Oryctolagus cuniculus: one gene and its partners. Each later gene encodes a partner of the first gene's protein in a complex. Links are inferred from orthologs where the notes say so. Each region holds a gene or a part of one and is shown in the gene's direction. Other genes may lie near its edges. The genes, in order: SNRPF, SRRM2, EFTUD2, PRPF31, ARMC7, LSM5 and SNIP1.

The links.
Region 2: SNRPF (region 1) and SRRM2 share a complex: the UniProt entries of both Homo sapiens proteins name them as parts of the minor spliceosome. The link is inferred for Oryctolagus cuniculus from reciprocal best matches to the Homo sapiens genes SNRPF and SRRM2.
Region 3: SNRPF (region 1) and EFTUD2 share a complex: the UniProt entries of both Homo sapiens proteins name them as parts of the minor spliceosome. The link is inferred for Oryctolagus cuniculus from reciprocal best matches to the Homo sapiens genes SNRPF and EFTUD2.
Region 4: SNRPF (region 1) and PRPF31 share a complex: the UniProt entries of both Homo sapiens proteins name them as parts of the U4/U6-U5 tri-snRNP complex. The link is inferred for Oryctolagus cuniculus from reciprocal best matches to the Homo sapiens genes SNRPF and PRPF31.
Region 5: SNRPF (region 1) and ARMC7 share a complex: the UniProt entries of both Homo sapiens proteins name them as parts of the minor spliceosome. The link is inferred for Oryctolagus cuniculus from reciprocal best matches to the Homo sapiens genes SNRPF and ARMC7.
Region 6: SNRPF (region 1) and LSM5 share a complex: the UniProt entries of both Homo sapiens proteins name them as parts of the U4/U6-U5 tri-snRNP complex. The link is inferred for Oryctolagus cuniculus from reciprocal best matches to the Homo sapiens genes SNRPF and LSM5.
Region 7: SNRPF (region 1) and SNIP1 share a complex: the UniProt entries of both Homo sapiens proteins name them as parts of the minor spliceosome. The link is inferred for Oryctolagus cuniculus from reciprocal best matches to the Homo sapiens genes SNRPF and SNIP1.

Annotation. Positions count from the first base shown.
Region 1 is NC_091442.1:98,723,836-98,727,924, forward strand, and holds the start of SNRPF (small nuclear ribonucleoprotein F), read left to right. Parts: upstream 1-1,289; 5' UTR 1,290-1,426; coding exon 1,427-1,429; intron 1,430-3,409; coding exon 3,410-3,535; intron 3,536-4,089. UniProt on the Homo sapiens protein: Plays a role in pre-mRNA splicing as a core component of the spliceosomal U1, U2, U4 and U5 small nuclear ribonucleoproteins (snRNPs), the building blocks of the spliceosome.
Region 2 is NC_091450.1:32,562,953-32,566,452, reverse strand, and holds part of SRRM2 (serine/arginine repetitive matrix protein 2), read left to right. Parts: intron 1-685; 5' UTR 686-714; coding exon 715-956; intron 957-1,816; coding exon 1,817-1,924; intron 1,925-2,113; coding exon 2,114-2,278; intron 2,279-2,445; coding exon 2,446-2,523; intron 2,524-3,314; coding exon 3,315-3,377; intron 3,378-3,476; coding exon 3,477-3,500. UniProt on the Homo sapiens protein: Required for pre-mRNA splicing as component of the spliceosome. As a component of the minor spliceosome, involved in the splicing of U12-type introns in pre-mRNAs.
Region 3 is NC_091448.1:18,150,324-18,154,387, reverse strand, and holds the start of EFTUD2 (116 kDa U5 small nuclear ribonucleoprotein component), read left to right. Parts: upstream 1-1,264; 5' UTR 1,265-1,543; intron 1,544-4,064. UniProt on the Homo sapiens protein: Required for pre-mRNA splicing as component of the spliceosome, including pre-catalytic, catalytic and post-catalytic spliceosomal complexes. Component of the U5 snRNP and the U4/U6-U5 tri-snRNP complex, a building block of the spliceosome.
Region 4 is NC_091449.1:4,557,696-4,561,195, reverse strand, and holds part of PRPF31 (U4/U6 small nuclear ribonucleoprotein Prp31), read left to right. Parts: intron 1-1,069; coding exon 1,070-1,159; intron 1,160-2,018; coding exon 2,019-2,146; intron 2,147-2,232; coding exon 2,233-2,305; intron 2,306-2,608; coding exon 2,609-2,737; intron 2,738-2,817; coding exon 2,818-2,916; intron 2,917-3,500. UniProt on the Homo sapiens protein: Involved in pre-mRNA splicing as component of the spliceosome. Required for the assembly of the U4/U5/U6 tri-snRNP complex, one of the building blocks of the spliceosome.
Region 5 is NC_091448.1:5,404,931-5,408,936, reverse strand, and holds the start of ARMC7 (armadillo repeat-containing protein 7), read left to right. Parts: upstream 1-1,206; 5' UTR 1,207-1,402; coding exon 1,403-1,493; intron 1,494-1,979; coding exon 1,980-2,123; intron 2,124-3,487; coding exon of another isoform or gene 3,488-3,516; exon of another isoform or gene 3,517-4,006. UniProt on the Homo sapiens protein: As a component of the minor spliceosome, involved in the splicing of U12-type introns in pre-mRNAs.
Region 6 is NC_091447.1:23,533,065-23,537,040, reverse strand, and holds the start of LSM5 (U6 snRNA-associated Sm-like protein LSm5), read left to right. Parts: upstream 1-1,176; 5' UTR 1,177-1,288; coding exon 1,289-1,334; intron 1,335-2,439; coding exon 2,440-2,535; intron 2,536-2,816; coding exon 2,817-2,844; intron 2,845-3,805; coding exon 3,806-3,878; intron 3,879-3,976. UniProt on the Homo sapiens protein: Plays a role in pre-mRNA splicing as component of the U4/U6-U5 tri-snRNP complex that is involved in spliceosome assembly, and as component of the precatalytic spliceosome (spliceosome B complex).
Region 7 is NC_091438.1:135,212,989-135,217,099, forward strand, and holds the start of SNIP1 (smad nuclear-interacting protein 1), read left to right. Parts: upstream 1-1,311; 5' UTR 1,312-1,402; coding exon 1,403-1,626; intron 1,627-2,685; coding exon 2,686-2,788; intron 2,789-4,111. Other genes in the region: DNALI1 (axonemal dynein light intermediate polypeptide 1), read right to left, coding at 1-96, 483-596. UniProt on the Homo sapiens protein: Required for pre-mRNA splicing as component of the spliceosome. As a component of the minor spliceosome, involved in the splicing of U12-type introns in pre-mRNAs. Down-regulates NF-kappa-B signaling by competing with RELA for CREBBP/EP300 binding.

The DNA of each region.
Region 1 (4,089 bases):
AGAAAGCAGTTTTGGGGTTAAAATCCAGCTACGTGCCTCTGGGCAAGTTCTCTGCCAAGTCTGTTTTTCTCATCTCAGCTGTAACTTCAGATCACACTGTGTGATTTCTATAATAATTGGGAAAGAGCCGGACATAAAGTTAGGAACTAAAGATTATAGCAAAGTTAAAGATGCAGGGGTGTAACATCTGGCATAGCGCCTAAGACGCCCACATCCCAGATGGGAGTGTCTGGCTTGGAGTCCCCGCTGGGTTTCTGACCCAGCTTCCTGCTAATGCACCCTGGGAGGCAGCAGGTGATGGCTCAAGTAGTTTGGGTCCCTTCCACTCACTTGGGAGTTCCCAGCCCCCGGCTTCAGCCTGGCTTGTTGCGGGTGTTTGGGGAGTTGAGCCAGTAGGTCCAAGAGCGTGTACGCTCTCTGTCTCGCTCTCGCTCTCTCATAAAGAAAATTAAGAATTTTTTTTCTTAAAAGCTGAAGATCCACGACACGATGACTAACCAGAAAAAACCCAGTGCACTTTGGGGTAAATAATTCTAACAGCTATTCGGTCTACACCACACTGATGATCACCCTGACTTGCTGCTCATCATTTAAACCGACAACACGTAAGTCACAGCGAGCATCTCCTGAAAGCTCAAGTCCAAACGCATCTTCTGGGGGGTGTCCAGCAGCAGGCGGTCCTCCTCCAAGCGCCAGTTCTCCGAGATCTGCATTCAGCACCTCCCATCCGGGCTAGTCCAGCGTCGGTCGCGCGGAGAGGGGCTGGCGGCTGCGTCGCGGGCACCGATCAGCCCGTGCTGCCGCAGGTGCTCCCCAGGCCGGCGGGGCCGGGGGCCCGCGGGCAACGCCCCGGGGGAGGTCCTGGCTCCTAGTCTGCAAAGAATTCTGCCGCGGCCCCTCCGTTTCACCTCCCCGCCTCCAGGCCCGCTCCTCTCATTTCCTCTTAGAACGCTGAAACGGGTGCTACCGAATAGACAACCTTCAGGTCGAAGGGGGCTGTGGCAGAGGCGCCCCCAAATCGCGGTACCCGGGGACCTGAGAGCCCCGAACGCGTTCTCACCGTTGTAAACTAACAAAGCGACCCCCCATTAGCCAAGCTGCCGAGAAATCACGTGTGCGCCACAGGGTACGCGGCCTCTCACAGCCGGTTCTTCAAGGCAGGGGAGAAGACTAGTAACGCCGAACGCGTCTCTGGTTGCTGGGAGACACGGCTGCGCCATCTCCTCCAATCAGCACACGCCTCTTTTTGACCAATCATAGAAGGCGAAAGAGCGGTGGTGGGAGGTGAAAGGTCAAGCTGAGGTTTGGCGGCCATTTCTCTTGCAACTTCGGAGGTCTGGGCCTTGGGGGAAGCTGCTCCGAGCACGCGGGACGGGCTGTATCTGCGTCGGCGGCGTCTAATCCGCAACGTTAGCCCGAAGTCGTGATGGTAAGGAGAGGGAGGACTGCTGGAGTCGCGAGACGGAGAGGGCGGGAAGGCAACTTCGGGCTGGCTGAGCCTGGTGGCGGCTTCGCGCCTTTCCCATTCATCCGCGAGGCGCAGCGCACCGGGGCGCCAGTCTGCGGGTTCCGCGGACGCGCGCGAGTCCCTTCCTGGCTGGGACGACCCTCGCCTCCTGCTGCCTCTTCTTTCTGAGTCCAGGGAAGAAAGAGGTAGTCGGGGTGGATGTAGCAAACGCTGAAGCGGTTTGCGTTTCCCACTTCGTCGCACTCATGAAGCCGCTTTTATTCCGTCGGTGATGTTTCTCCAGCCCGCCTTGGCCCAGGCCCCGGAGCGTTCGTGTATTCGTTCTGACGCTTATTGAGCGCCGGCGACTTGGCCAGGTTGAGTCTTGGGCTCCAGGACTAGAGACTGAGAAGTGCCCATGCGGACCCTGCACCGGCCGAGCTGGGCGGGGTGTGAGAGACAGACGTCCGTCAGGCGCTGTTCACCGAAATGGGCACCGGCCTAGACGGGAGCGGGCGGGAGGCTGCGGCCCCGGGGCGCTGGGGCGCCTTCCGCGGCTGCCCCCGGAGGGGGGCTTTCACCCGAGCCCGGGTGACAGGAAATGGGGCTCCGGAACGATGAGGGAGGGACAGCTACACTCGTGGTGGGTGTTGGCCGAAAGCGGCCACCGCTTGCGAGAGCGCCAGGACCTGGGCAGCGTGTGGAGGGTCTACCCCGGCGCCCTCGGCAGCCGTCGGAGCTTTCTCATCAGGCCCGATGGGATGCGCTCTGGCACACGTCGTAGCGGCTGTGTGCTCGCTGCGCCCGAGAAGTGGGGAGCTGGGGGCCGTTAGGCGGTTATTGCGGGTGGAGCCCTCCTACTTTTCCCGCGATTTAGTAGCGGTGTCTGGGTTCTTCCTCGGGGTGAGGAGGTGAGCGCGGAGAGACTCGGTTCGCCGGCGATGCACCGGTCGGGTGAGGACCGAGCCCTGCCGAGCTTGGTCCTGCCCCGAGTGGGATGCTGACCGTACTGCTTGTTCTCGGGATGACGCGCGCAAGCGCACACATACACACGGTCATTCCAGATGGGAAGCCTCCCTGGCCTCCAGCGGTCCCCTTTCCCTCTGGAATAGACTTCACCCTTTAAAACGGAGGCATTGCTCCTACCAGGCAGCCCGTTCCTGTCTTTTTTCCTGAGTTGGTTGGGCCTTTCTGCATAGCATCGCTCTTACTGCTTTGCAATATAATTGTCTGTATGTCTGCAGCGCCACACCCCCACCCTGGCTTCTTAAGGACAGAGCCTCGTTACACGTTTGTTGTAGGGCTTTCATCTTTGTTTCCTTAGAGCTTGCGACACTGAGGACTGCAGGTGCCGCTTGTCTCCTAAGTGCAGCGTGAACACTTATTTTTTTGTGATGGGTTGAAGACGAAATGGGATAACTGGTTAAATTTCCCAGATGCTAGCCGGCGCCGTGGCTCACTAGGCTAATCCTCCACCTTGCGGCGCTGGCACACCGGGTTCTAGTCCCGGTTGGGGCGCCGGATTCTGTCCCGGTTGCCCCTCTTCCAGGCCAGCTCTCTGCTGTGGCCCGGGAGTGCAGTGGAGGATGGCCCAAGTGCTTGGGCCCTGCACCCCATGGGAGACCAGGAAAAGCACCTGGATCCTGGCTCCTGCCATCAGATCGGTGCGCCGGCTGCAGCGGCGGCCATTGGAGGGTGAACCAACGGCAAAGGAAGACCTTTCTCTCTCTGTCTCTCTCTCACTGTCCACTCTGCCTGTCAAAAAAAAAAAAAAAATTTCCCAGATGCTCTTCAACAAACAAAAGTGGAAATTAGGTAGTAGAGTGATAGGGAGTGAAGAGTTTGCTTCATTTGGATGTTACAAAATATTGATTGGTGGATTGGTAGAGGAGAGTGAGGAGTGGAAGCCAAGTTAAGGAAAAAAAAAAATCAATGGATTTTTTGTTTGTTTGTTTTGTGCAGAGTTTACCCCTCAATCCCAAACCTTTCCTCAATGGATTAACAGGGAAGCCCGTGATGGTGAAACTCAAGTGGGGAATGGAGTACAAGGGCTACCTGGTGTCTGTAGACGGCTATATGAACATGCAGGTAAGCTAGAGGTGAAAGGGTGGTGACACTGTGTTTCTTCTGTTCCACTTTATTCCTCCAAGGTTTCGTGTGACTAATAATTCATACAGTTGGCAAAGATAGAACAAAATTCAGGAATGAAGTCAAGGCCAGGGAGGATGTTACAACTGATAGACTAGGTACAAGACACGGGGTTAGGCCAGGATTCACAGACCTTACTCGTGGTGGGTAAAGTGAGGAGGACTCAGGCATTTGATTATTCATATAATAAGGGAAATACATGAGTTGCTTTCAAAAGCAAACCTTTTTCCAGCGCTTAAATCTGATATTTTTCAAGTGAAATTCTTGTCTCTTAATGAATGCTAAAGGCACAACATTAATGTAATCAACTAGAAGCATTTCTTCAGAGGGAAGACAGATTAGCTGAAAGAATTGATGAACTATGTTGGTTAAACTAGTTGTAAATGATTTTGCCAGTGAGGGGGGGGATTTGGTGTGAATTTTTTTATTGTGATAAAATATACATAAAAATTTGGCCACTTTAACCATTTTTAAAGATGTCACTCAGTAATAGT
Region 2 (3,500 bases), on another chromosome or scaffold:
AGTTGATGGGAGCTATAAATATTTGGAATCAAGAAAATGGCTCTTTCCCTGGGAGGTGAAGTGGAGTAAGATGATGTATCCAAAGTTCGTATTTGTTTCTTATGTGCATGCTAGCTGTTAGTCTGAGTGTGAGGCTGTACCTACCACTTTGGATTTAACTAACTAGCCCCCTTTTCGGTTACCTAGGGGTTGTTTATTCCATCTTGTATTCATACGGGGTAGTCTGAAATCCTTAGGCAGGTTCACGAGGCTTTGGATGTGGATTGGAGGCCCAGTTACCAGAGTTAGGATGTCGAGTAGTTGAAAGTGTCACTTGGATTATCTGTGTGGAAGGAGAGCAAAGGGAGAATGTGGGGAGATTTGAAAGACAATAGAATCAATCCTTTGTGTAGGGTGGAGAAAAGAAAATCTAGGTGCAAGGAAGAATGGTGTAGTAGTCTGTGGAAGAGCATTAGTGGGAAAAGGCCGTGAGAACTGGGCTACGATTTTTATGGAGAGGAAGCAGTGTGGGCAGGATGAGGAGGAGTTTCTTAGACCAGGAGGATGAAGAAGCAACATGCAGTAAGAGATACAGTGTGAGAGGACAGGTGTTGAACTAGGGGTGCAGGAGAGCAGGGATGTGGGTGGTGGTAGGTGGTTAGTTTGGGGCCAGGGGCCTGACCCGTATCTCCCCGCTCCCCCCCAGGAGCGGTGGTGCCCCCCGGGCACAGGGCCATGTACAACGGGATCGGGCTGCCGACGCCCCGGGGCAGCGGCACCAACGGCTACGTCCAGCGCAACCTGTCCCTGGTGCGGGGCCGCCGGGGTGAGCGGCCTGACTACAAGGGAGAGGAGGAACTGCGGCGCCTGGAGGCTGCCCTGGTGAAGCGGCCTAATCCTGACATCCTGGACCACGAGCGCAAGCGGCGCGTGGAGCTGCGATGCCTCGAGCTGGAGGAGATGATGGAAGAGCAGGGGTGAGGGGAGGCCTGGGGGAGAGCCAAGCACTGAATGAGTGCAGAGCTGGATGCTAGGTGGGATGTAGGGAGTAGAGGCCTGGAGAGCACTCGTAGGGGAGGCGATGAATGAGCTAGAGATTGAGGAGTTAAGGGACAGTGCGAAGTGGGAAATGAGGAATTGGGCATAATTAGGAACCTGAGCGAGTCTGGATTTAGATCAAGGTACACGGGGCAATGGGGGCCGTCGAGGAACAAAATACGCTTTGAGGGAGAGTCCAGAAAGCAGAGACCAGGCAGAAGGGCTCGCTGAACTGATCGAGGTGTCATTGATAGAAGAGAGGAAGGTAAACGCTTTAAGGATTGAGGCCTTGGAAAGAGTCAAAGCCAGTAAGACACAAATTGGAAGAATACTTAAGAATTATGAATGAGAGAATTATGGGCTAAGTAGGGAAGTGGCATTTTGGAAAAGAAGCATACTTAGGCAGAAAACCTTTTAGAGCAGTGGTTTTCAAACTTCAGCAGTGGCGCTCCTTTTATATGATATATCTTACTTTGGAATCCTAGGAAATGGAAGACTTTGTTCCACTTTGTTGAAGTTGTAGATGAGCACTTGAAACTCTGCCTGCTTAACTTTCCTCTCTTGGCCCCTGAAGTCTAGTATGTTTAAAATCCACTGTTCTAGAGGGCGTAGAAATAGAGGAGAAAGATGAGAGAAAGGATCAGAAGGACTTAAGAGAAGGGAGTTTAGGGTGACAGAGAGTGAAAAGTTCTGTGTGCATGGAGAAGGAAGGGGCCCTGTGGGGAAAGAGGGAAATGGAGACCCGGGACTGGGTGAAGCGTCCTGGCAGGCTCTAACCCTGAAGGGATTTGTCCTTCAGGTACGAGGAACAACAAATTCAGGAAAAAGTGGCGACCTTTCGACTCATGTTGCTCGAGAAGGATGTGAACCCCGGGGGCAAGGAGGAGACCCCAGGGCAAAGGCCAGCGTGAGTGTTACACTCCCCTTGATTCCTCTGGACTCCATGCTGCTGCTGTCGTCCTCTCCTTCCCTGGGACTTCTGCCCTGCCTTTGTCTGCCTTTTCCAGTGCCTGTGTGGCTCCTGCTTGTTGTGTTCTCAATTTCGTTCTGCATTTCGCTTTCTGTCGCTTTATACTTCTGCCCTTTTCCTCTCTAGGGTAACTGAGACTCACCAGTTGGCAGAATTGAATGAGAAGAAGAATGAGCGACTTCGTGCTGCCTTTGGCATCAGTGATTCCTACGTGGATGGCAGCTCTTTTGATCCTCAGCGTCGTGCTCGAGAGGCTAAACAAGCAGCCCCTGAGCCTCCTAAACCTTACAGGTACTCGAGGCCACGCTAGCAGTATTAGCTCTCTCCCTGATTTCTAGACTTCCTCTCCCTTTGTGGACTGTTTCTTTCCACATTCTAAAAATATTGTTCCTCTTGAGTTAAAACGTTTAAGAAAAGCTTTTTAACATCCAGCTCTGTTTCTTTCCACCTCACCCCAGCCTTGTGCGAGAGTCTAGCAGTTCTCGCTCCCCCACTCCAAAGCAAAAGAAGAAGAAAAAGAAGAAAGACAGAGGACGGTAAGTTACTTGGGAAGTTACTCCAGTAGCCGTAGGCCTGTTCCTGTGATGTTACTTTTTCTCTGGGAGTTGAGAAATCTTGCTTCCAGTAAGCAGGAGACAGCTGTCAAGAAATTCAGAGAAGGGAATGAACCATTCAGATCTCCGCTAGCAGGAGAAATGCAGGTGGCCTCTGTGGGGATGGGTTGAGTCTGCAGCTGTGCCAATTAGGAACTGGCTTGAAGCATTTTTGATTTCTGAAATGTTCTTTTCATTTTTTGGTTTGTTGGTTTAATGAGTTAACATTTTTTAGAAATAAGTGGTGGGCTGGCTAGCGCCGTGGCTCAATAGGCTAATCTTCCGCCTATGGCGCTGGCACACCGGGTTCTAGTCCCGGTCGGGCGCCGGATTCTGTCCCGGTTGCCCCTCTTCCAGGCCAGCTCTCTGCTGTGGCCAGGGAGTGCAGTGGAGGATGGCCCAAGTGCTTGGGCCCTGCACCCCATGGGAGACCAGGAGAAGCACCTGGTTCCTGCCTTCAGATCAGCGCCGTGCGCCGGCCGCAGTGCGCCAGCCGTGGCAGCCATTGGAGGGTGAACCAACAGAAAAGGAAGACCTTTCTCTCTCTCTCTCTCTCTCACTGTCTACTCTGCCTGTCAAAAAAAAAAAAAAAAAAAAAAGGTGGGCTTATATCTGGGGCATAGGTAGATGTTGGGGTTACTCAGATGCTTTTGAAACCTTCTTGGGGTAGATTGTCAGTGGGGCTGTCAGGAAAGAAGTCAAGCCGAATGACCTTGCTTCTGAACTCACTCCAGCAGGTCAGAGAGCAGCTCTCCACGACGGGAGAGAAAGAAGAGCTCGAAGAAGAAGAAGCACAGGTATGAGGTGGCATTCCTTCGAGTGATTGGGAGGAGTTGGCAGAGAGCAGGCGTAGGTGTTGGTTCATGTTTTTTCTCCCCTCCCCCCTTTCCCATTAGATCAGAATCTGAATCAAAGAAACG
Region 3 (4,064 bases), on another chromosome or scaffold:
CTGTTGGTTCACTTCCCAAATGCCCACAGCACCAGGTCTAGGCCAGGCTGCAGCTGGGAGCCAGGAATCCAAGTAGCTGGACCTCATCTGCTGCCTCCCAGCTGTCCGAACTCCACCCGGCACTCTGATGTGGGACGTGGGTGTCCCAAGCAGCAGCTTTAACCTGCTGGAGAGTGAACCAGCAGATGGAAGAACTCCCTCTTTTCTCTGTCTCTTTGAATTTAAATAAATTGAAAATAACTAAATATTTAAAGATAATAAGTATTGTTTAAAAATGAATTTATTTTGGTGCAAAAACATTTTGAAATCCATGCAACTTAAAATAATGTTTTATTTATTTGAAATGCAGAGAGAGAGGGAAAGGGAGAGAAGGAGAGGGAGAGAAGGAGAGGGAGAGAGGGAGAGAGGGAGAGAGGGAGAGAGGGAGAGAGGGAGAGGGAGAGGGAGAGGGAGAGGGAGAGAAGGAGAGGGAGAGGGAGAGAAGGAGAGGGAGAGACAGAGAGAGAGATCCTCCATCTAGTCCTTGACTTCCCAAATCGCAGCAACAGCCAGGGCTGGGCCAGGCCGAAATCAGGAGCCTGGAACTGCATCCAGGCCTCCCACGTGGGTGCAGAGCCCAAGCACTTCAGCTTTTCCCAGGTGCACTAGCAGCGAGCTTGAGCCGAAGTGCCCACTGGACCTGCCCTCACCTGAGATGCTGGCGTTGCAGCGGCGGCCTGACTCGCTGCGCCACAACCCCTGCCTCATAGTTTTTTCATAATACACATTTTCATGCACTTTTTGGAGGCACCCTCTATCGTATGCATGGACTTGGAATATCTGCATCGAAATAAGCTTATCTTTTAACTCCATTTCCCACAAGCTTTTCAAGTGCCCGCGTACTTGTGAGACTTCTCTGGGGACACCGAGCAGTCCTGGCAGGGAAGCAGGCGGTCCGCAACTAGCTACCCACACGGACAAACCTAGCGAAGTTGAACGCCAGAACCGACTGGGCTGGCCAGGAGCTGAACTCAGGAGTCCCGGCCCCTGAGCCCTGCAGTCAGCCAATAAGTAGAACTAACCCGTCTGTCCTCCCGACCCAGCCACCCGGACCTTCACCACCGCAGTTCCCGCCTCGGTCCCCTCGCTTTCCTTGGGGACTCCCTGGTGTACTGGAACCAAACGGCGGCTCGGAGCCCACTACGCCCAGCATCCGCGGTTGCCTAGCAACTGCGCCAACGGCCTGCCCACGTGACCTGCCCGAAAGCCCCTTTAGGTGTCCTGGCGGTGCCTGACCCAGTAGTCATGTATGCTCAGGCTTCACTCTCTTTCGAGCAGCCCACGCTTGGGTATGGGATTCACAACTCCACCCGGTCGGCTCCTGTGTCTGCGGTCGGCATTCCTCAGTGCCGGTTCTCAGGCACAGGGCTGTCCTCCGTGGCAGAAACGCGGCCTCGGCGTCTGCGGGGTCCTTCTTGGCTGCGGGCGCAGGCGCTGCAGTGACGCGAGGCGGCCGCGCGGTCTCCGTCGGCGGACTTGGGGTTCTACGCTGAGCAGGGAGGAGGTGAGCTAACGGGGGTCCGTGGCGTGGGAAGGTTATCTGGGCAGGGCGGGAAGTTACAGAGCATCGTATCTGGAAGAGGCATGAGGTGCTGTCTGCCCGTTGCGGATGAGTGAGCTGAGGCCTGGAGCCGGAAGGAGCCCCCAGCCCCATCCCTGAAGTCCCGTTCCTGGGCAGGGTTGAGCTTTCACTGCCGCGTCTCCTCGCTCTCTCATCAGTGCCGCCATCACCTCTTCTCTGCCAGGCTCTTTGTCTTCATTTGGGATTCTTTTTCAGAAGTTAAAATAGCGAGGGGCTGCGGTGAGGTTCGTAACCAGCTGGTGCAACTCAGCTGTCTGTGCGTTGCTGGAGTCGTCCGATCGTGCGTTCAGCACATGCTTGCTGAGGGCCTGTTTTGTGCCAGGCGCTGTCCTAAGTGAACGAGAGACCTTGCTTAAGTTGTAGCGGGAAGAACGAACAGGATGCAAACGAGTAGATTCATGTCTTGATAGGAAAACGGTGAAAGTGAGGGTCGGAGAGCGTGAATGAGGGGCTTTTTAGTGAAAAGAGACTTTGATAAGCTAGAGGGCAAAGTTACGAATACCTCAGGCAAGAGCATTTCAGACAGAATGGCAGGTGCAGTGGCCTTGGGGCTGGGCTTGACTTGTTCCACGAACCGCTCTCTATGGAACTCTCTGCATTTGTTGGCTGGAGGTCTCGGGAGAATGAATGAGCCCAGTTTGATAGCTCTTTGGAAGTAAAAAGAGCCTTTATGCATATGAGATTTTCTCTAATAATGTACACGTAACTACCACTTTTTTTTTTTTAAGATTTATTTATTTATTTGAAAGAGTTACACACAGAGAGAAGCAGAGGCAGAGAGCAAGAGCGAGAGAGAGGGAGATCTTCCATCCACTGGTTCACTCCCCAAGTGGCCACAATGGCTGGAGCTGCACCAATCTGAAGCCAGGAGCCAGGAGTTTCTTCGGGTCTCCCACTTGGGTTCAGAAGCTCAAGGTCTTGGTCCATCTTCCGCTGCTTTCCCAGGCCATAGCAGAGAGCTGGATCAGAAGTGGAGCAGCTGGGACTCAACCTGGTGCCCATATGGGCAGTGCCGGCTTTACCACTGTGCCACAGCGCCAGCCCCGTAACTACCTCTTCTTGGGTTCTCCAATTATGTGTTTTATTTGCAATCAGCACTCAGCAAGTGGCATTGAGGGAGGTTGAGGTATTAGCTCAATGCAAGAAACATCAGTATCAAATATTCCATTCCATTTGCATTTATCCAGTTCCTGCTTACACAGGGTGCTCTAGGGCTTTGGGAGGGGAGCACAATGAGCACAGGTTCTTCTAGTCAAGAATGACCAGAGATAGATGACAGGCATTATAGCACAGTGGGTTGAGACACTGGGAAGGCCACATCCCATGTTGGTGCAGCGGTTCGAGTCCCGGTTTCTCTGCTTGTGTCCCGCTAAGGCATCCTGGGAGGTAGCAGGTTTTGGCACAGGGGCCCCTGCCACTCAGTGGGGGACCTGGATGGAGTTGCAGGGTTTTTATCTAATCCCCAATCATTTTATGCATGAGGTTTCATCACTCCATTTTCCAGTTCAGGAAATGGATGTGCAGAGGTGAAGTAAGACGTACATGGGCTGGCTTTGTGGCTTTGCAGGCAAAGCTGTCTGTGACGCCACTTCATCTCGCGGAGGCTGCTCCACTTCCGATCCAGCTCCCTGCTAATGCCCTGGGGAAAGCAGCAGAGAGAGGATGTTTTGGGACGCTGCTACCCACATGGGAGACTGGATGAAGCTCCTGGCTCCTGGCTTCAGCTTGGCCCAGCCCTGGCCATTGTGGCCATCTGGGGAGTGGATCTGCACTTGGAAGAGCCCTCTGTCTTTCTTTCTGTCCCTGTAACTCTTTCAAATAAATAAATAAATCTTTTTTTTTTTTTTTAAGTTACATAGTTGCTAGTGATGAGTTTGGGATTTGAATCTAGGTCTTCCAGCTCCAGAGGCTTGGTGTTGTGCTCCTGAACTATGGAGTTGTTGAGGGTAATTAGTGCAGTGAACCGCCATCCAGGAAAAAGCTGAACAGTGATGTAAATCCAAAAGACTGCAGCAGCATGGGGGAATAAGAAATTGAGATCTGGGTCAGCGCTGCGGCTCACTAGGCTAATCCTCCGCCTAGCGGCACCGGCACACCAGGTTCTAGTCCCGGTCGGGGCACCGGATTCTTTCCCGGTTGCCCCTCTTCCAGGCCAGCTCTCTGCTGTGGCCAGGGAGTGCAGTGGAGGATGGCCCAGGTGCTTGGGCCCTGCACCCCATGGGAGACCAGGAAAAGCACCTGGCTCCTGGCTCCTGCCATCGAATCAGCGCGGTGCGCCGGCCTCAGCGCACCGGCCGCGGCGGCCATTGGAGGGTGAACCAACGGCAAAGGAAGACCTTTCTCTCTGTCTCTCTCTCTCACTGTCCACTCTGCCTGTCAAAAAAAGAAAAAAAAAAGAAATTGAGATCTAAGAAAGCTTGAAGGAGGTAGCATTTGAATTCTT
Region 4 (3,500 bases), on another chromosome or scaffold:
AGCCGCTGCGGGACAGATGGCCTGGCTGTCCCCGGTGCTGGCTCCCGTCCCTCGTGTGGACGGCGTTTCCTGGCCGCGTGCCTCGCCCCGCCCATCACTGTCCTCCAGTCCGCAGGCAGCAGACGGGAACGGATCCCAGGGTGCCAGCAGGCCGCCCAGAATCCCAGGCCCTGGAGCCCGGGCGCTGCCCCCCACCACCTGCGCACTGCTGCCCAGAGCCAGGCCCTCCGCAGGCCACGCTGCTGCCCTGTGGCTGAGGGCCCCTCCCGCCCGTGCTGTTCCAGCTCAGTTCCTGCACAAGCCGAAGACACCACAGCATGGCCCGCTTGGTGGCCGGGAACCTCAGTGTCCACATGTTTTTTAGAAGGTTTTATTTATTTACTTGAGAGGCAGAGTTACAGTCAGAGAGATCTCTCAGCCACTGGTTCACTCCCCAAATGGCTGCCACGGCCAGAGCTGTGCCGATCCAGAGCTGGGAGCCAGGAGCTTCTTCCGGGTCTCCCACGTGGGTGCAGAGGCCCAAGGACTTGGGCCATCTTCCACCGCTTTCCTAGGCCATAGCAGAGAGCTGGATCGGAAGCGGAGCAGCTGGGACACGAACCAGACCCATACGGGATGCCGGCGCCACCGGCAGCCAGAGCCTTAGCCCACTACGCCACAGTGCGGCTGCAGGTTCCACGTCTGCCAAGTGGGGGCGCTGACTGCAGCAGCCTGGTGCTCGAGCATCTGATGAGGGTCCGTGTGCAGGGCGAACCTGCACAGCAGGGTTGAGAACAGGCTGCAGGTGCTCCCCCGGGAACCTCCGCGTCCTCCTCTGGGCTCCGCCCTCAGCCACAGCGACCCCAGCACACGGCTCCTCCGGCCCTGGCCTCCTTCCCACGATGGGAGGGGGCTGTTGGGAGCAGGGGCCGTGTGTGTGTGTGTGTGTGTGTGTGTGTTAGAGAGAGAGAGAGAGGTCCTCGTGTGTGTGTGTGTGTGTGTGTGAGTGAAGCCCCCTCGGGGAGGAGCAGCCCTGTCTCTGTCCATCTGTCCGGCTCACAGACTCCGCGTCCCCCTGCCGTTGCTCTAGGATCTGCGGCGGAAAGCAGCCCGGCTGGTGGCCGCCAAGTGCACGCTGGCAGCCCGCGTGGACAGTTTCCACGAGAGCACGGAGGGGAAGGTGAGGCTCGCTCTGGGGACCCAGCCCAGGAGCACTGCCCTGACGGGGCACACACACCCCTTCCCTGGCTCGGAGCTCCTGTCTGTCTCCAGAGCCAGCCAGGAGCCCCTGCAGACCCCCCCTCCGTCAGGGACCTCGTGACCCCAGGGCGCCCTCCCCACCCCACAACCCCAGCCACACCCCTCTTGCCTTGTGATGTCAGCCGTTCCGGGCCAGGACCTGGGCCCTGCTGGCTCTGTGCTCTCGGCAGCCGCACCTGCCGTCCTGGGCATTGCTGTGTGCCGGCTCCCAGCCCGGCAGTGTTCAGGTGCCCAGCCGCCACCCCTGCACACACGCACACAAAGCCCCGCCTCTGGGGCTCCCACTCCAGTAGGGGCTGGGGCAGCAGCCAGGTGACACTTGCCCCACAAATGCCAAGAAGAAGAACAGCATCTGGGGTGTGAGGGGTCGGCGGGAGGGCTTCTCTGGCCAGGAAGTTCTGCCCTGCACCCGAGTGCAGTCAGCGTCAAGTCCCAGGGCCCCTGGGGGAAGTTCCAGGTGGGACGGTCAGTGCAGGCGGCCTGAGGCTGGAGCCCCCCCAGCCCCCGGGGGGTGAGGCGGTGATGGGGCACCTTCTGTGCCCTCGGGAGGACCTGGCACCTTGGAGGTGCTGAACAGGGGCCTGCGGGACCTGAGGGCGGTGCCGGGAGAGCAGCAGGCATCGCGGGTGTGAGCTGGACGACCGGCCCACCCACTGTCCGGGGCTGAGAGCTTGGTCAAGCAGCAGCTTCAAAGGGCACCCAAGAGCCGCCAAGGCCGTCGGGTGCTGCGGGCTGATGGCCCGTGGTGCAGCCGCCCCCGCCTCCCTGTCCCCCCCCAGGTGGGCTACGAGCTGAAAGACGAGATAGAGCGCAAGTTCGACAAGTGGCAGGAGCCGCCCCCCGTGAAGCAGGTGAAGCCGCTGCCTGCGCCCCTCGATGGGCAGCGGAAGAAGCGAGGCGGCCGCAGGTGAGAGACCCGGGGGGCGCGGGCGGGGGCCTCCGAGAGGAAGAGGCCCGAGCTCTCTGCCCGCGCGTGACCCGCCGCCTTCCCAGGTACCGCAAGATGAAGGAGCGGCTGGGGCTCACGGAGATCCGGAAGCAGGCCAACCGCATGAGCTTCGGGGAGGTGGGCCCCGCCCCTCACCCAGGGCCCCCAGTCCTGCCCCGTCCCCGCCCCCCCCACCCAGGGCCCCTCTGGCTCTCCCCTTCCGCTGCCCACCCTCACCAGGCTCCCAGGACCCAGGCCTACCGGCCTCCCAGGCTCAGCCACACCCGCCCCCTGTGCTCTGAGCATCCTCTGGTCCTGCGGCTGGGCTCAGTGCCCCCAGTGCTGAGACCTGTGCTGCCCTCGCACCCTCTCCCCCCAAGCATGAGAGAGGGCGCTGTGTGCTGAGGGCCCCCACCTGACTGCGGGCACCCCCCCCCCCAGATCGAGGAGGATGCCTACCAGGAGGACCTGGGCTTCAGCCTGGGCCACCTGGGCAAGTCGGGCAGTGGGCGCGTGCGGCAGACGCAGGTGAACGAGGCTACCAAAGCCAGGATCTCCAAGACGCTGCAGGTATGGGCGGGGCCCAGGTGGGGGCGGGGTGAGGGACGGGGGCGGGGCTGCCCCTTCATCCCGTGCCCTCCCACCCACAGCGGACCCTGCAGAAGCAGAGCGTGGTGTACGGCGGGAAGTCCACCATCCGTGACCGCACCTCAGGCACAGCCTCCAGTGTGGCCTTCACGCCCCTGCAGGTACGGCTCGGGCCGCCCCCCACCAGGGCCTGCTGGGGGGGTGGGGGGCAGCCAAGCTCCTTCCCTTTCCCCGCGAGGCAGCGGCACGATGGGGTCCCCTCTCCCTGGCCATGTGGTCCCGGCACAGTAGGTGTGAGGAGGGTGTACAGACCAGCCCCAGACTGAGGCCTGGGGCTGCCCAGTTCCTGGTGCGGGCGACCGCCCCCTCTGGGGCTCCAGGCGGTCACGAGAAAGCTGCCAGGTGGGCTTGGGTTCCCACTTGGGTTCCGTCCGAGCCGCCACACCTGTCCGCGGCTCCGTGCAGTCACCACACGGCAGCGTGCCCCATGGTGATGGGTGACGTCCCCACGCTCCCTTGCCCAGCCAGGGAGTGTCCACTGGGCGCCCACCAAGTCCCAGGAGCGTCGGGCTCTGGGGAGGAGGTGAAGAGCAGAGGAGACAGCGCGGGTCGGTGGGACCGTGGGACACAGGCGCCCGGGCAGCGGGAGCAGGACCCAGAGGCCCTCGTGGGAAGAACCACCGCTGGGCGCGGCTTCGGCCGCAGCCCCCTGGGGCTCTGTTCCCGGGCGGGATGTCGCCTCTGT
Region 5 (4,006 bases), on another chromosome or scaffold:
GAGGAGCTCACCTCCGTGTGCCCTCAAGCCCCAGGCTCCTGGTCCCCAGGCCTTCGCTGCTCTGTCCAGCAACAGGCGGGAAGTCCCCTGGCTAAGACACACTTTCCCAGGCCATCCAGGATCCCCACAGAGTCAAAGGACAAAGGGCAGCTATGGTACCCAAGCACCAAGGCCAAGGTCAGAATGGCGCTGTGGCACAACTGGTTAAATCCACGGCCTATAGTGTCGGCATCCCATGTGGGTGCCGGTTCGTGTCCCAGCTCCTCCACTTCCAACCCAGCTCCCTGCTAATGTGCCTGGGAAAGCAGAGGAAGATGGCCCAAGTCCCTAGGCCCCTGCACCCACACGGGAGACCCAGAAGAAACTCCTGGCTCCTGGCTTCGGATCGGCACAGCTCCGGCCGTTGCGGCCATCTGGGGAGTGAACCAGCAGATGGAAGACCTCTCTCTCTCTCTGTCTCTACCTCTCTCTCTAACTCTGTCTTTCAAATAAATAAAATAAACCTTTAAAGAAGAAGAAGGTGTGCATAGGGCAGGGCTGCAGCCTGCGTCCACCGCAGCTGTACTTGGCCCAGGGATGCAGCCACATTCCTTGGCCCCAGGAGCTCACAGCTCCAAGCACCATGGGGATGTGGCAAGGCCTCCTTTCCTGGTGCTGTTCTCTCCTGAGAAGCTCCGAGGAGTCAGACCAAAGGGCTTCAGGATCCCGGGCCCAACAACGCAGAAAGCTGCAGCGGTCCACAGGGGCGAGCTGAGGCTCCTTCCAGGGCCCTCCGGTGCTGCCCGGGACAACCCAGCTGTCAGAGGCTTAGGGCAGGACCCCAGTCCTCGGGACTTCGGGTCAGAGGTGGAGGGCCCCAATGGGGTCAGAGCGGAGTCGGCCGGACTTGAAATCCTGAAGGGTCGCAGGGAGCCGACGCTGAGGCTCCAGGGGGACGTCTAGGGGAGAAGGCTGGGCTGCGACCGCCAGCGGGTGTGGGGAGTGTGCGTCTGCCTCGACAGCCCCCTATGTGGGCACCCCCAGATTCTGCGGCACTCCTGGGTCGCCCCGGCTCCTCGCCGCATACCCGACCGCGCACCTGTCTGCCGCGCGCGTCCCCGCGGGCCCGGAGCTCATTGCGCACGCGAGCCGAAGAGCTCCGTGACGGCCCCGCCCCTTCTCGCCTCGCCCCGCCCCGTCTCTCCCCGCCCCGCCCCTTCCGCCCTCCGGGGGCGGGACTAGCGCGGCTTCCGGCCGGGACTCTGACAGGATCCTGAGGGTCCCGCCTCCCACTTGCCGTTTCGAGCTGCGGATTCTCGCAGGACCTGAGCCCCCCGGCCGCTGCGGTGAGGGTCTCACGCGGCTGTCCAGGCTGCCTTCTGCCCTTGTCCCACCGGGCCCAGGAGCGCTCGGCCGCCCCGCCATGGCCCAGAAGCCCAAGGTGGACCCCCACGTCGGGCGGCTGGGATACCTGCAGGCGCTCGTCACGGAATTCCAGGAGACCGCGAGCAAAGGTGAGAGCCGCGGGTGGGCGCCGCCGCGAGCCGAGGGGAGAGCCGAGGGGAGGGCGCGGGTGGGCGCCGCGAGCCGAGGGGAGAGCCGCGGGTGGGCGCCGAGGGGAGAGCCGCGGGTGGGCGCCGCCGCGAGCCGAGGGGAGAGCCGAGGGGAGGCCGCGGGTGGGCGCCGCCGCGAGCCGAGGGGAGAGCTGAGGGGAGGGCCGCGAGCCGAGGGGAGGGCCGCGGGTGGGCGCCGAGGGGAGAGCCGAGGGGAGGCCGCGGGTGGGCGCCGAGAGCCGAGGGGAGGGCCGCGGGTGGGCGCCGAGAGCCGAGGGGAGGCCGCGGGTGGGCCGGCGCGAGCCGAGGGGAGGGTCGCGGGTGGGCGCCGGCGCGGGGGCCGAGGGGAGGGCCGCGGGTGGGCGCCGCGAGCCGAGGGGAGGCCGCGGGTGGGCCGGCGCGGGGCCGCCGCCCGGGACCGGCTCCAGGGTCGCTTTCCCGTTGCAGACGCCAAGGAGCAGGTCCTCGCCAACCTGGCCAACTTCGCCTATGACCCCAGCAACTTCCAGTACCTGCGGCAGCTTCAGGTCCCGGATTTGTTCCTGGACTCGCTGTCGGAGGAGAACGAGACCCTGGTGGAGTTCGCTATGGGTAAGGGGGGCCGGACCCGACACCTGCGGGGCTGCCGCGCGATGGGAGGGTTGCAAGGGAGTCGTCGGCAAAGCGGCCTTTAGGGGCCCCCCTTGTCGCCCCACAGGCCATCAGGTCACAGCTAATGTGCGGGAGTGCGGGGGTCCCACCCAGGCCCCACCCTCTGCCTAGAGATGGGATCGCAGACAGGGAATGGGAGGGAGCAGCTTGGAGGTGGATCTTTAATGCGACGATAATGTAGACTTTAAAGTCTTTGTCGTTTACTGAAAGGCAGAGAGAGAGAGATTGAGAGATTGCACCCACTGGTTCGCTCTGCAAATGGCCACAACTTCTCCCAGGTCTAGGCCAGGCCAGGCCAGGGCCAGGATCCGGGACCTTCATCCCTCAGGTCCCCACAGGGGCAACAAGGGCCCAGCACTGCCTTCCCGGCTGGATCAGAAGCAGAGCAGCTGGGACTTGAGGCAGGACTCCCGCCAGTTGGCCCACTGCGCCCTCATCCCTGTCCTCGTGCAGAAATGTTTGAAGTCCATACATAGGTTTTTTTGTGAGACTTTTTCATGAACTTGTAATTAATTAATTAATTTGAGAGGCAGAGAGACAGACAGAGCTTCCATCTGCTGTTTTACTCCTCAAATGACAGAAATAGTCAGGGCTGGTCCAGGCCAAAGCTGGGGGCCAGGAATTCTATCCAGGTCCCCCCCCATGAGTGTCACGGATCCGACTACTTGAACCCCTCATACAGTGCCTGCCCAGTGAATACAAGGATATTTCAGCAAGTTAATGGGAAGTGGAGTTAAAATATAAGGGTGTTTTTGGTGCAATTAAAAAAATTAAATTTTTTTCATAATGCACATATTCTATGAATTTTTAAAAATATTTCCCCCCACTCTACTGTACTCTTCTCTTCCTTCCTTCTTTCCTTTTTTTCTTTTCTTTTTTTTTAAGATTTATTTTATTTATTTGAAAGAGTTAGAGAGGTCTTCCATCCGCTGGCTCACTCCCCAAATGACCGCAGCAGCCAGAGCTGAGCTGATCCAAAGCCAGGAGTTTCTTCCAGGTCTCCCACATGGGTGCAGGGGCCCAAGGACCTGGGCCATCTTCTATTGCTTTCCCAGGCCACAGCAAGGAGTTGGATCAGAAGTGAAGCAGCCAGGACTTGAACTGGCGCCCATATGGGGTGCTGGAGCTGCAGGCCAGGGCTTTAACCTGCTGCACCACAGCGCCAGCCCCTTTTTTAAAAAAAAAAAAAATTTACTTATTTGGGGGACCAGTGCTGTGGCACAGTGGGTTAAAGCCCTGGCCTGAAGCGCCAGCATCCCATATGGGTGTTGATTCTAGTCCTGGCTGTTCCACTTCCAATCCAGCTCTCTGCTATGGCCTGGGAAAGCAGTAGAAAACGGCCCCCCTGCACCCACGTGGGAAACCCAGAAGAAGCTCCTGGCTTCAGATCGGTGCAGCTCCAGCCATTGCGGCCATCTGGGGAGTGAACCAGCAGACGGAAGACCTCTCTCTCTGTCTCTACCTCTCTGTGTAACTCTGTCTTTCAAATAAATAAAATAAATCTTAAAAAATAAGTTTATTTATTTGAGGCCAGCACTGTGGTGTAGTATGCTAAGTCTCTGCCTGCAGCGTCAGCATCTCTTACGGGCACCGGTTTGAGTCCTGGCTGCTCCTCTTCTGACCCAGCTCCCTGCTAATGCTCCTGGAAAGAAAGCAGCAGAGGAGCGCCCAAGTGCTTGGGCCCCTGCACCCATGTGGGAGACCCAGAAGAAGTTCCTGGCTCCTGGCTCCTGATTGGCCCAATTCCAGCTATTGCGGCCATTTGGGGAGTGAACCAGCAGATGGAAGATATCGCTCTCTCTCTCTCTCTCTCTCTGTAACTC
Region 6 (3,976 bases), on another chromosome or scaffold:
AATTTTACATTTAAAAAAAAATGTGTAAACCATTTTGAAAAAAAAAGATTTACTTATTTATTTGAAAGGCAGAACTACAGAGAGGAAGAGGCACTATCCACTGGTTCACTCCCCAGATGACCACAAGGGTTGGAGCTGTGCTGATCCGAACCCAGGAGCCAGGAGCTTCTTCCAGGTCTCCCACAAAGGTGCAGGGCCCAAGGACTTGGGCCATCTTCTACTGCTTTCCCAGGCCACAGCAGAGAGCTGGATTGGAAGAGGAGCAGTTGGTCTTGAACCGGAGTCCATATGGGATGTCGGCATTGTAGGCAGCCTTTACCTGCTACGCCACAGCGCTGGCCCCTCTTTTACTTTTTTTTTTTTTTTTTTTTGACAGGCAGAGTGGACAGTGAGAGAGAGAGACAGAGAAAGGTCTTCCTTTATCCGTTGGTTCACCCCTTAATGGCCGCTGCTGCCAGCGCACTGCGGCAGGTGCACCACGCTGATCTGAAGCCAGGAGCCAGGTGCTTCTCCTGGTCTCCCATGCTGGTGCAGGGCCCAAGCACTTGGGCCATACTCCACTGCACTCCCTGGCCACAGCAGAGAGCTGGACTGGAAGAGGAGCAACCGGGACAGAAGCCTCAAGAAAAGGAATGTTTTTGGGGCCGGTGCTGTGGCACACTAGGTTAATCCTCCGCCTGCAGTGCTGGCATCCCATAAGGGCACCAGTTGTATTCCCAGATGCTCCTCTTCCGATCCAGCTCTCTGCTATGGCCTGGGATAGCAGTGGAAGATGGTCCAAGTCCTTGGGCCCCTGCACCGGCGTGGGAGACCCAGGGAAGGCTCCTGGCTCCTGGCTTCGGATCGGCCCAGCTCCGGCCGTTGGGGCCATTTGGGGAGTGAACCAGCGGACGGAAGACCTCTCTCTGTCTCTCTCACTGTAACTCTGTCAAAGAGTGAATTGGTGGCGGGAAATACTGATTTTTACTAGTCTTTATAAAGACAATTTTATGGGAAAACAAGCCAAAAGTTTCCTTATGCGCTGTCCTCTCGGTCGGAGGACGAACTCCTTCAGGAGGTTAGCAATCTTCAGCGTCTCTCCGAAGCCTGGGAACGAATCTGCAGGGCAGCACCCCAGGACTCCCACTCCCCAGCAAGGCAGCGCGCGGGCGCCGCCCACGTGGAGCACGCCGGCCGCCCGCTCGGCCTGCGATTGGTCGAGCCTGCCCGGCCGCGGGCAAAGGCGCAGGCGCGCTCTTTTAAAGTCACCGTGGAACGTCGATGGACGCAGGCCACTTCCGGCGTAGCCATGGCGGCTAACGCTACTACGAACCCCTCGCAGCTGCTGCCGCTAGGTAATGGTTTTCCTGTGAGGGAGCTGGGGCGGGAGGCTGGGGTTCAGGACTGGGGGCCGCGGGGTTGCGGCCGAGGCACCCCTGGCTGGTAGCGGGCCTATGTGTGGGGCCGAGCGTTTCCCCTCCGCGGCTCGCGCCGGCTCCCGAGCTCCTGCGCGCCAGGCCGCTGCTGCGATGTAACGTGCTCCTGCCCCTGGAGGCAGCTCCTCGGACTCCCCCGGAACGAACCGTGGGCGGGAGAGGGCCGCACTGGGCGAGCGCACCGTCGGCCGTGTTTGTTGGGAGCGCTGCGGCGCCGTGTCCGGAGTGGCATTTGGGATCCCCAGATGGGGTTCACCCTGTTGTGTGTCTGGGAGTTGAGCGGGAAGCAGCGCGCTGTGGAACGAGCCTTAGAGGAGGAATCTGGAAACTAGCCCTGTTTGCCATTCATTCATTCATTCATCCATCCATTCAGTAAGAGCCCGTGTTCTTCCTGCGTGCTAGTCCACAGCGACCTTAAACCACAGCCATCGCTCCCGAAGGGTACACAAGCCAGTGGAGGAGACAGTACTGGACAAGTAAACCTTGTGCCCCCCGTGCCAGGCTGGCCAGAGGTGCTGAAGCTGCCCCCAGCACCGCGGGGCTTCACTGGCGAGGGAGGAGGTGACAGGAGGCTCCCGCGACGACGGTCAGCGGCCTCTGACATTGTGTAGCCGGCGAGGAGTGGTTGCGTTGACGGACTTCAGTGATTAGGCTCGTGGAAAGCCCCGTAAATGCCCGTCCCTGTCCACTGAAGATCCAGCGATGGGCGAAAATGAGCACAGTGTCCGGGCTCGTGGCGCTTAAGAGTCTGGGGGGATGTGTTTGTGTCCCTAAATTAATCACGTGATCTGGAATAAAGATAAAGCCACAATCATGATAGATTGCTGCACAGAAAGGAGAAGTGGAAAGGCTTCTGATTAAGTAGTGGGAGCGCAGAGGTTTGCATTTTAAGATCCGAGGTTACCAAAGGGGGATGTTCTTCCTAGTTTAATTTTCACTGAATTTGGCAAGTAACAAATGCCAGCGTGCACTCGAGTATGTGCTAAAATGATGAATGGGTAAAATAATCTTTTTGCTCACGCAGAGCTTGTGGATAAATGTATAGGATCCAGAATTCACATTGTGATGAAGAGTGATAAGGAAATTGTTGGCACCCTTCTTGGCTTCGATGACTTCGTCAGTATCCTTTTAAAACGTGGTGCTGTGGCTTTTTCCTGTTTATTTAATAACAGAACCGTAGACAGTGTGTTTCTGGGTGTTAACGATAAAAGTCAGTTCATCTCAGGGCACTTGTGATGGTGTTTTCAGAGGTGAGTATACTGGAAGAAGGTCACATTCCTACCAACAGTCAGCCTTTTTATTATGAGCCTTTGTGTTAAATATTATCATTACAACTGAATGAAAGCAGAAACCAGAGTTGTTTCAACCTGGAGTGTTTATTTCCTTAACACCACCTTTCAGATATGGTATTGGAAGATGTCACTGAATTGTGAGTAGTGCTAAAAATGACAGAACTCGGCTCTTTTTCAAATTCAGGACATTTTAAGTACTGTTTAGTCAGCAAAATGGAAGTAGAGGCAACTTTTATTTACTAATGCTTGTAAAAGTTATGTAATTGTTGCTGAATTGCTAGGAAATTAGTGGAGACAAAGCTTGAAGGTAACAGATGTTAACGTGCAGGGATTTTAAGGCTCAGGTCATATCAAGGACCTGATGATGAAAACATTTAACTATATAATGTAAAATGTAAGTGATAAGTATTAGTTACATAGTAGTTTAGTGGGTAGAAATCAGTAGTAATACAAAATGTTAAAGAGTGAGTCTACTAAATATTTTATATTTGATCTTGGCAGGTTCCACCTTTTTTTTTTTTTTTTTTGAAGATAAGTCTCATGGCTGTGAATCTTTTTTAAAGCTTTATTTATTCAAAAGCCAGGTTACAGAGAGAAAGAAAGAGAGGGAAGGAGGGAGATCCTCCATTCGCTGGTTTACTCCCCCAAAGGGCTGCAATGCCAGGGCTGGGCCAGGCTGAAGCCAGGAGCCATGAGCTTTCCCCAGGTCTCCCACATCTGTTCAGGGGTTCAAGCACTTGGTCCACCCTCTGTTGCCTCCCCAGGCACATCAGCAGGGAGCTGGACTGGAAGTGGAGCAGCCAGGACTCAAACCAGTGCCTGTATGGGATGCAGCACTGCAGGCAGCAGTTTAACTTGCTGAGCCACAGTGCCAGCCCCCTTGGCTATGGATCTTATTTATATCCATTGGTCTACTCTTGCTTTTGATGAAGAGTGTACATTACCCAGTGGATAACTTTTATCTCTGAAAATCACCTTTATAATTGCTGAACTTTCGTTTATACAAACATTACCTTTTTAGAGAGAGAAGGTGTTTCTAAAATGCTGCCTTTGGTTACCACCATTTATCCTGACTTTCTGTTTTATCACTTCATTTAGTGAAATCACACCGGAAGGAAGAAGGATCACTAAATTAGATCAGATTTTGCTAAATGGAAATAATATAACAATGGTAAGACACGTTAAAACTGTTTCTGTGGGACAGGGCTTACAGACCTAACTAGTAATGTTGCCGGTTGCTTCACTCATGCCGTGGCTTGGTGGTGCTTA
Region 7 (4,111 bases), on another chromosome or scaffold:
TGGGACACAGGAAGTTGAGGGGAGCTTGGTCTTGGTTATCTGTGGGATTGGACTGGAGGGTCCCGGCTGCTGGGGGCTGGCTTTCAGTGGCCGAGCCTGGGAAGAGACGATTCAGGCCTTCAGCCCCCTGGACGCCTCCGGGTCTTGCGCACCCCCTCCCCTACCCCCAGCCCGTGAAGAGTCCCTGGTCCCAACGCAATGCGCGGACCAGTGTTTCTGGAGGAAGCGGTCAGGCGTCTGCGCTCCCACCTGTAGCGGTGGGGACATCGCGACCTGACCTGTCCTTGAACCCGACTACCGGGAGAGGAATCCCTACCGTCTGTCTCCCCGCGACCAGGTCTAACCTGCGGCGCTCACACCCAGCGACATCTGGACCACCCGGACCACTCGCTCCCTCTCCGCCCGTCCCAGGGCCCGTCCCCGGACTCCGGACTCTCGCCGCGGGGATCTGCCTGGCCCGGTCCCCCGAGGCCCGTCCTCACTTTGGGGCTCCGTTTCTCCGTGTTCCGGCTCACCAACACCGGGGTGTCGTACTTGAGCAGAGAGTCGGCCGGGGGGATCATGGCGGCGATGGGGGCCTGGTTTGCGGTCACCATGGAAACCGCCCCCCCTCCCGGCCGGGGCGGGGCCTCGGGTGGGCGTGGCGCGGCGCGCGGACGCGTCCCGCGCAGCCCTGGCGCTCGGCCCCGGCACTCGGCGTCTTAATCTTGCTGCCAGCCGGGTCGCCCGGGAGACGGGGGTTCGAGTCCCTGCGCTGCGTATAGCGCGCAACTTGCGTGATTGGGTAGATCCCCCTTCGCTGAGCCCCAAGATTGTCACCTCAGTGAAGGGCTGGAGACCATTCCCCAAAAGAGGGTCTCTGGAATCCCCAGGGCTTTAAAAAGTATTCCTCAAGGTTAAATGGCGAACTGACATAGCAGGATTTGTCCACGGGCTACTATGATTGCATTTTTGTATTTCCAAGGCCAAATGGAATCACGGTTGGCGCGCAGTTTCGTCGCCTTCCTCTACCGTGTCGGTCCGGGCTTTTTCCACAAAGCGGTATATGGTTCGTGATAACGTTACTAATAGCTACGTAATGCCCAGTGATTGGCTAAGGAGCCCCCTACAGCTGTACACTGAGGTTGCCCACATGCTCTGTAGTTACGCGGTGAAGAATTAACTTGAGAGGTTCGCTTTTCCCCAGTAGTTTGCTTTCCAAACTTAAAACTCCCGCCCTTCGGGCCGGCTCCCTGCAGCCCCGCCCACGGGGGGGGCGCCGTCACATGTTCAGCGCTCCGCCGCGAGGGTTGCTGGGAGAGCTCACACCCCGGAAGCGGAAGTCCAGAGGTCAAGCTCGTCATTTCCTTCGGAGAGAGTGGCTCAACGGACCTCTTTTCTTTTGCCCGACCCGAGTCGCAGAATGAAAGAGGTGAAGAGCGAGCGGGAGCGGAGGAGCCGGCGGAGGCACCGGGAGGGGGACGTGGCGGCGGCGGCGGCGGCGGTGGTGGTGAAGCAGGAGCGCCTCAGCCCGGAAGCCGAGCCGCCCGCCCCCCGCCGGCCGGACCTCGGCGCTACTCCGTCCCCGCCGGCCGGCGAGCCGGGCCGCCCTGGCCACCGCGGGAGCAGAGCCCGGGGAGAGAGCCGGTAAGCAGAGAACAGCCGGGGTGGACCTTGGGTCGGACTCATTGAGAAAAGAGCACAGGGCCGGCATCAGAAGTGGGTTCTGAATGCCGAGCCCAGCAGCGGGAGGCGGTGGGAGTGGCCGGGTCGCGCTCGGGTAAAGGCGTGTGTGCTCCGGTGCTGGTTACTTGCGTGACAGCTGGGGTCGAGCTGATGCCTGTGGGTCAGGGCCTCGCCCCCTCTTTCGTGTGTCGCCAGCACTTCGCGGAGCGCGTGGCCCAGCGGCTAGCACTCATCGTCCGTTAAGTTGAAAGATTTTCCCCCCGTCTGCCCGCGCAGGGAGTGCGGGCGTTGTCTTCGCCCTTATCCACCCCACGCGAGTATAAGCGATCTGCTAGGTGCACTGTTTGTTCATCGTTCAGCGTACTTTTACTGAATGCCTATAGGGTACTAAAGAGTGCACTAGGGACCTGGGCCACACGGGTGAGGCTTTCGTGAAATTGGACGAGCTTGAGCCCCAGGAAGACTGCCAACATGCAAACAAAACAGTTTCCGATGGCAACAGGTCTCAGGGCTAGGTCGGCCCAGTAAGGTGATCGTGAGAGACTGGAAGGAAGCGGGGATAGAACTCTTTGAAAGAGGTGCCGTTTGAGCAGAGACCTGAGTGATCTGGCCGCCGAGGAAACGTGCAAGGAACGTGAGCTAGAAGTCGTGATCGTGGAGGAGGAGGAGGATGGTAGCGATGAGGTGGGCCGGGGAGGAGGTGCCTCCCGTGAATTGTGGTGATGAGAGTGACTTCTGCATGGTGGTGGGCGAACAGCCAAGGGACAGACCTGGACAGGAGAGTCTTCAAAGGGTAGGGGATGGAGAGCCGTGTTCCCTGAGTGAGGAGGATCCGAGGCTCCGAGGCAGCGGCGTAGGCGGGAGAGTAGGTGAGGAACGGGAAGCCCCCCGGCTCCTTTGGTGTGATCAGCAGTCTTTCACAAATGTGTTTGTGTTAGTAGGTAAGCCCCATACCAGAAGCTAGCTTATGTGGGGGAAGGGAAACTGAGATAAAATCCTGTGTGTACCATGCCCTGAAAGGTCTCCAGCCAAAAAGAAAAACAAGTCCTCGGGGAGAAGAAGCAAGTCTCCTCGGAGCAAGAGAAGTCGGAGTCCTCACCACTCGGCAGTCAAAGTGAAGCAGGTAAGTGGGCTGGGGTGTGTTGAGGTGGGGTCTTAGGCCAGCGCCTCTTCCTGCCACCGCAGCCAGGGAAACAGCCAGCCAGAAGCACACCCACAGAGACAGCACCTACACCTGCAGCGGGCTTTTCTGAAAACTGAGTGTGTGAGTTTGTTTTGGTTGTTGGTAAATTTCTGCTGGTTTTCTTAAGCTTTTTTATTTTGAGATAATTACTGATTTAGATCAGATTTAATAAAGACAGGTGTTTCTCCCAATGGAAGCATGGTACAGAAGTGTAGTCACAATATCACAATCAAAATATTGGCATAAGTTACAAAACGTTTTTCCTGCCACCTGGACATGGCATGTTGTCCTGTTATAGCACACCCACTTCTTTCCCACCTTCTCCCTTCCATAAGTCCTGGCAACTTTTAATCTGTTGGCTTAATTTTGTCATGTGTCAAGAATGTTACAGGCCGGCGTCACGGCTCACTTGGCTAATCCTCCGCCTGCGGCACTCGGTACACCGGGTTCTAGTCCCGGTCAGGGCCCCGGATTCTGTCCTGGTTGCCCCTCTTCCAGGCCAGCTCTCTGCTGTGGCCCGGGAGTGCAGTGGAGGATGGCCCAAGTGCTTGGGCCCTGCACCCGCATGGGAGACCAGGAGAAGCACCTGGTTCCTGCTTTCGGATCAGCGCGGTGTAGCGGCCATTAGAGGGTGAACCAACGGCAAAAGAAGACCTTTCTCTCTGTCTCTCTTACTGTCCACTCTGCCTGTCAAAAAAAAAAAAAAGTTACATAAGCGGCATCACACACCATGTAACCTTTGGGACTGGCTTTTTTCACTCAGCAAAGTTCTTTGGCATGTAGGTTGTTGCATTGATCAGTTCATTCCTTCTTCTTGAGTGGTATCTGTAGTATTAGTTTAGCCGTTTGTCCATTAAAGAACATCTAGGTTTCCAGTTTTTGACTCTTACACATAAAACTGCTGTATAAACATTTGTGAACAGGTTTTATGTGAACATAAGATTTCATTTCTTTGGGATAAATGCCCAGGAGTATAGTATATAGTATAGTATAGCATATATAGTATATATGCTATATATTATACTATAGTATAGTATAGTAGTTGCATGTTTAATTTTTAAAGAAATTGTTTATTTTCCATAGTGGCTGTGTTCGTTTGCTAGGACTGCCATAACGAAATACAGACTAGGTCGCTTAAATGTTAGAAACTTATTTTCTCGTTATTCTGAAGTCTAGAATTTGAAGAATAAGGTGTCAAATAAGGTGTCAGGTTTAGTTTCACCTGTGTGGGGGTAGGGAACTGCTTTTTGGCTTGCAGGTGGT